Oryzias latipes: one gene and its partner. The protein of the gene in region 1 purifies or fractionates together with the protein of each later gene. This does not show direct contact. Links are inferred from orthologs where the notes say so. Each region holds a gene or a part of one and is shown on either strand. Other genes may lie near its edges.

The links.
Region 2: the proteins of endothelial PAS domain-containing protein 1 (region 1) and histone acetyltransferase p300 purify together in Homo sapiens (affinity purification with western blotting; 4 studies listed by BioGRID and IntAct, with this or other methods). This does not show direct contact. The link is inferred for Oryzias latipes from reciprocal best matches to the Homo sapiens genes EPAS1 and EP300.

The regions. Positions count from the first base shown.
Region 1 is NC_019873.2:14,300,830-14,304,329, forward strand, and holds part of endothelial PAS domain-containing protein 1, read left to right. Parts: coding exon 1-40; intron 41-2,789; coding exon 2,790-2,937; intron 2,938-3,049; coding exon 3,050-3,258; intron 3,259-3,372; coding exon 3,373-3,500.
Region 2 is NC_019866.2:19,344,869-19,347,921, forward strand, and holds the end of histone acetyltransferase p300, read right to left. Parts: coding exon 1,746-3,053; 3' UTR 501-1,745; downstream 1-500. UniProt on the Homo sapiens protein: Functions as a histone acetyltransferase and regulates transcription via chromatin remodeling. Acetylates all four core histones in nucleosomes. Histone acetylation gives an epigenetic tag for transcriptional activation.

The DNA of each region.
Region 1 (3,500 bases):
GCCCTGGACTCTGACAGCGTCACCAAGAGCCACCACAACTGTGAGTCCTGTGTGTGCTTACTGTCAGGATGAACACAAACATGAGCCCTTTCAATAATGCACTTTTTTTGATAAAAAAACGAGGCTCTTAGTTGAAACAAGTGTTTAATACTGACTCAAATTCAAATTAAATATATTAATAGACAATAAAGACATTACCCCAAAAATTGAATTATTAAAGATATGTATATTATTAATACTTGTTGAGTGAGGTGGGCTTTAGAAAGGTAATAATGTCATGGTGAAATTATAGCCTTAATGATAATCAAAATACTTTAATAGTATTGGAATCTCGATATTAAAGACCCACTCCCATAAAAAAATAGTGTTTCTGGCATTTTTAACATGTTTTGGTGGCCTTTTTCTGAAGATGGAGGACTTATATATAAAGAAATGTGATCTTAAATTTGCATTTGTTTATTCAAATTGTTATGAATCAGGAACAGAAAAAAGATTAGATCAATTTGCATTTTTGTTTTCCTTGTCTGAGCTGGAATCTGGCTCAAAACTTTCCAGCTGGATAGCTCCAATATTGCTCACTATTTTTGTTGCACTGGTGATGTTGGTTTAGGGGTGTGAGGGGATGTAAGCTAGCAGGAGAGTGTGTAAACGCAGAAACTGGGAGGGGAAGGGGGGTTGCTTAGTGCTAAGGTCCCCCCACACACAACTCAGAGGTGAATTTCTTATGAACTACTGCTGCTCTGCAGAAACTATGTCATAGAAAAACGACAGTCTTTGTGATTTTGGCTAATGACTGCACCAGCGTATTTAAAAGGCCACTGGGAACACTTTTACAATAGATCAAAGATAATCGGATTCAGTCTCTAAAGCCTGACCGTGTTCAAGTCTAATGTTGTTACAAAAAGTATAAAGATCTATATCATTTGGTTTTCATTACCTGTTTTTTAATACATATAATAGTGTAAAGTTAAATGCCAGTCACATGCATCGCCTGTTTTCATGCGTTTGTTTCCAGAGCAGGATCAGGGTATTAAGAAGTGTTTGATCAAATTAAGGGAAGCCACCGATGGTCTGATGAGGTTTGCACACATCTGGTGCCACAAACACAGTGGACACGGGGACCAGGTGGCCTCCATTACAATCTAATGACACTGTTTGTGAGTGTCTGTGTGCAGACGAGGCTGCGGGTGTCATGGCTATTCTCTGCTCTGACAGTACAGGATCATTAGAGGCTTTGAGCTGCACTGTTAGGAACTCCTTAAAGCCCCCCATGCACAAATAAAGTGTTTGTGTGTTTGTGCAGCAGAAAAAAGGAGCGACTCTGGAGTCAACATAGTTTCATCTGTTTATTCAATTTTAGGATCTGCTTTAGCAACCAAGACCCACCTATACAAGCTGTATTTAGAATGATTGCACTATTCAGACGTACATTCTAAAGATCCTGGGCTCCTAAACAGAACTTTTTTTTCAACCGTTGTCATGTTTCAAGGCTGCCTTGATTTGGTCTGAAACTGAAAAGCTTCATATTTATATTTTATTTTTTTATCTTTTTGGCTCCAAATCATCTGCGTCCAAAGACTTTAGATAAAGGACGCTCTATCTCCATCCCACACACACCCACGACCTGCTCTCACGGCCAACGTGACCAGCCTGCCAATCAGAACATGCTAAAGGATGTAGCTGCTGAGTGGAAAGCTGCCACAGCCTTTTCTCCAAAACTACTACGCAGTCACACACACGGGCGCACACACATTCTCAATGTCATTGGCCTAATGTACGATCTCTGACCAGTCCTGCTCTTTTCCCACGCCAGTTCTGAACTCTGGACTGGAGCCAGCGCATGTCCTCCTTGCAAAGTCAAACATCCAGCTTTTTCCTACTAACAAATGTTTGACTGATTGGAAATCCCTGATGGAAAACAATTTTTATTTGATCTCATTTGAAAAATGTTACATTTTATTAGTAGGAACATAACACTGTCCGAAATAGCAATAAGTTTAAACTTTGAGTGTAGATGATATTAGTGGAAGTGGTTATTAAAATATTTATACATTTTGTGGTAGAAACACCAAATTCAGCATGATTTTACATTTGGAACCCCTCTTTCAGAAAAGCACATTTGCCACAAGAAAACACAAGATTTCAAAGTGTATATATTATATACACATATAATAGTATTCTGTAGGTACCACTTTGAAGTTGAAATACTGCATTTTGTGCATTAACAGCCCATATTGCTGAGACTGAGCAATTAGACTGAGCAATTGAGTGAAATGACTCAATCCATTTACAACCTGGAAGAAAGTTCCAGCAAAACCAGGCAGAAAGAACATAAACCATGACTGGTTAAGGTCACAGAACAGAAGAAGACAGAGTAAAAGTACATCATCGTTAGCAGATCTTCCATATTTCTTCATGATTTATTCCCCTAAAACTGTTACAGATTTCGTTTGAAATGCATTACACCTACATGTCACAGGTTTTAAGCATTAGTTTTCTTCATTTGTTTGTTAGGACTCTTGGCAAAAACAGTCTTTAATGGATTTCATTTGCCAACAAAAAATAATACTTTATTTACTTTCTTTTTAAAATTCCAATAACTAGGCTTTTGATTTTTTAGCTAAATAAATCCAAACCCTTGTAGCCACTCCTTCCATCTCTTTTAAAGGTTATGAGATGGGACTAATTGTAAACTTAGCCAACACTATCTAACTGCAAACTTGAGTATCAGCAGGAAGCGCTTGGTGTCTCTTAATTTAACACATTGTCTGTTTTCATTGTGTCCACAGTGTGTAGCAAGGGTCAGGCAGTCAGCGGTCAGTATCGCATGCTGGCTAAGAAAGGCGGCTATGTGTGGGTGGAAACCCAGGGAACCGTCATTTATAACAGCCGAAACTCTCAGCCACAATGCATCGTCTGCATCAACTACGTCCTCAGGTGAGACCTGTCACTGCAGTGAGCTCAGGTCTTCCAAAGGTTTTAACCAAACTCTTCTACATGGTAAATATCACAAACTATGTTCTAATTTGCCTTTCTTGTCTCCCTGCAGTGACATTGAGGACAGGGCTGTGATATTCTCTTTGGAGCAGACAGAGTCTCTGTTCAAGCCGCAACACATGAACAGCTTCTTCAGCGCTGGAGGAGCAGGCATGAATGGGGAGCCAGGAGACTCCCTGTTCAGCACCCTAAAGGAGGAGCCAGAGGACCTTGCACAGCTGGCTCCAACACCTGGAGACACCATCATTTCTCTTGATTTTGGTAAGCCTTGTACTTTTTGAAAACTTATAGGGGCAACACTGTCCTGTGTTACATTCCTAAATATATTTTTTGAAGTTCTATTCAAAAGTTTTCCTTTCTTCTGACTCCTTGTAGGTCGATCTGAGTTTGAGGAGCCTCAACATCCATCATCATTCACACCGGCATCTGCTTCAGCCATGCCCCCGCTGGGACCTTTGTCCTGGGCAAGTGAGAGCCACAAACCTGGGTCCAATGCAGTTCCA
Region 2 (3,053 bases), on another chromosome or scaffold:
GTCAGAATAAACGAAATCTTTTTTGACCCTTCTCGAACTCCGTTGAACACATATCAGGTCGCAATAACATCTACGGCCGCTAGAGGGAGTATTACTCCAAGCGATTTAAAGCTGAAGATTTACGGAAAGCAGAGCGGTCTGATAGCGGGCTTTGGGGTGTTTGAACACCTTAAATCCATTATTCCAATTTTGACATTTTAATATTTGTGTCCAGCTTCCTTCTTTCCTTTGTAATTATTCAGAATAAAAGAAAAATGTTTTGGAGAAAAAAAGCAACTTTCAGCATTTTCAGTGCTGAAAGTCAGGTTTGTTTGTTTTTTTGCATTTTGCTGAACAGAAACCAAACGCATACTTTGGTTTTCTAAGAGTTTGGAAACTCATTGCATTACTGCATGGCAGGCTGTTACCTTTGTTTTGTTTGTAAACAAAAAACTTCATTCTAAATCTAAGGTAGAAGCAGGAAGTGCATCTTTTGAAGAAATATCCTTAGAAGACACAACCAAATTGGTAATTTTTGTTTTATTATAAAAACAGTATTCGAGTCCAGTTTGTTTCCTTTGTACAGTAAAAAATATTAAATTAAACTCCCAAAGTTCTGAGCAGAAAGATAAAGAGGATGGAGTTTGTAAAGAAGGAGCTCCACGTCCCCCCCAGAGGAGGATATAAAGTTGAGGGAAGCAGCAAAGGGGACGAGGGAGAAAGAGACCGAGTCGGGTGTATTTGTGTGTGTGGGGGGGGGTCTCCTTCTTTCTCCTCGTTTCTGTGCAACACAGTTCATTTGGATCATCATCATCATCATCCTCTGTTTACAGAAAACAGCAGAATCCTAAAAACACTAGAACAAGCCCGCCCCACCCCAGGTATTTAAAATGTTACAGGCACAAAGGTATGCACCCCCCCTCCCCAAAGCTCTACAGCTCCATTTGAAGTGTCTTTAACAGGAAGGAGTGCACACACATTCGAGGGAGGGGGCTTGCATGTTGGAGAGGGCTTCCAAAGATGTGTCCGCCGCCGCCCTTCCGGCGCAGAGCGCACTGCAATCAAACACTGACATCACTCCCAACTCAAGACATCTAAAGTGAAATAACATATACTAACCCCCCCCCCATCTTAACAGTCAATACCAAAAATATATTTCTGTAGGAACTGTAGCAGTCTCCTAGACGCCCACCCCCAGAAGGAAAAGAATAAATAAAACCCAAACATTAGAAAAAGGAAAGAAAAAAAAAAGCATCATGTTTGGATTTGAGGTGAAGCGTAAACAAAAACAAAAAAAGGCCCCAAAGAATAAAATAAAAAAAGGAGCTCAACTGATATAAAGATATTTGCATTAAATCATAATTTTGGACTTTAAAAACCTATAAAAACAGAACAGTTTTTCAAAAGGCAAGTACTTTTTTCACATACCCCCCCTCAAAAAAATAGAATCAACTTTCCTCTGCAGTACACGGGGTGACTTGTGGGATGATATGTGAAAGACCCCCCCCCCCCCATCCCTAATTGGCAAAGAAAACATTTAACAGCAATAAGTTACAATTCATTTTCATTCATTTAACGACTGCTTGATTTCATGTTCATCTCCCATAGGAAGTTCAGTTCAATGCATCTTTATTGAAAACATTTTAAATAACATTTAATAATAGTTTAAAAAAAGCTTAGTAATAACAATAACACTGTCCTGGGTGAGTGCAGTTTGTGCGGATTTCCACTGCCGCTCCGCTCCGCTCCACACGCTGACGACCACCCTACATGTGGTCTAAGGAGCTGTGGCCGATGTTGGGGCCCATTGGGTCCTGACCGCTGCCGCCTGGCCCGTGCAGACCAGCCATGCTGCTCAGCTGGGACAGCATCTCATCCGAGCCGAACGGCTCCATGGCGTTCTGCTGGGCTGCTGGCGGTTGTGGTTGTTGAGGTGCCATCATTCCTGGATGGTGCTGGTTCAGGTGGTTGGGATGAGGAGAGCCCGTCTGCATCTGGGGGGAGATGTGAAGCGGGGAGGGGTGTGGCTGCATGCGTGGGGACGGGCTGGAGTGAGGCGGCTGGGACTGAGGTCTGGGTGAGGGCTGTGGGGACCGGACCTGGTTGGCCAGAGATGTGGACATGCCCTGTCCCTGCAGGTGCGGGTGGGGGGACTGGTTCACCTGTTGAGGCTGCTGGGGGCTCATGGGGTTGGTGTGCTGGGCCGGTGACCCTCCCGGGCCGAGATGCTGCTGCTGCTGCTGCTGCTGATGGAACATCCTTTGGTGCAGAGTCTGTTGAAGCCGGGCTTGAGCGGTTGAAGGTGGGGGTCCAATTTGGGTGGGTTGAGGGACTTGGGGTGCTTGCTGCGGACCACTGATACTCCCTCCACCTGGCCCTACATCACCCCCCATGGCGTTCTGTTGCTGCTGCATCTGGAGGTGGTGCTGGTGCTGCAGTCTCTGCTGCAGTGCAACCGTGGCCTGCTGCTGAGCGACTGATCCGGGGTAACTTGGTGCCTGCTGACCCGGCTGTCCACCGGGCTGCTGAAGGGGTGGCCCCCCAGGAGGCCCCTGCCCCACTGCTGGAGGCTGCATGCCCTGCTGCCCTATGAAGCCCTGCCCCTGGGGGGGCTGTGGCTGTTGGAACTGACTGTGGTTTACTCCCATGTGCTGCTGCTGTTGTTGGTGCTGCTGCTGCTGTTGTTGTTGCTGCTGCTGCTGCAGCTGTTGCTGCTGTTGTTGCTGCTGCAGCTGTTGTTGCTGCAGCTGTTGTTGTTGTTGTTGCTGCTGCTGTAGCTGCTTTCTCATCAGCAACTCTCTAAACTGGGCTCCGTTCAGGTTTCCCATCTGGGGCCCCTGACCCGGCATTCCTCGACCCACGCCTTGCTGCTGCTGCTGCTGTTGTTGCTGCTGCTGGAGAGCTGCAACCTGCTGCTGCTGTAACCCACTGAGCATTGGCCTCTGCTGCTGCTGCAACTGCTGCTGCTGCAACTGCTGAAGCTGCTGCTGCTGCTGCTGCTGGACCTGCTGCAACTGAGCCATGGGGCTCATGTTGACATTTGTTCCTCCTTGACCCCCCATGTGCATTCCCTG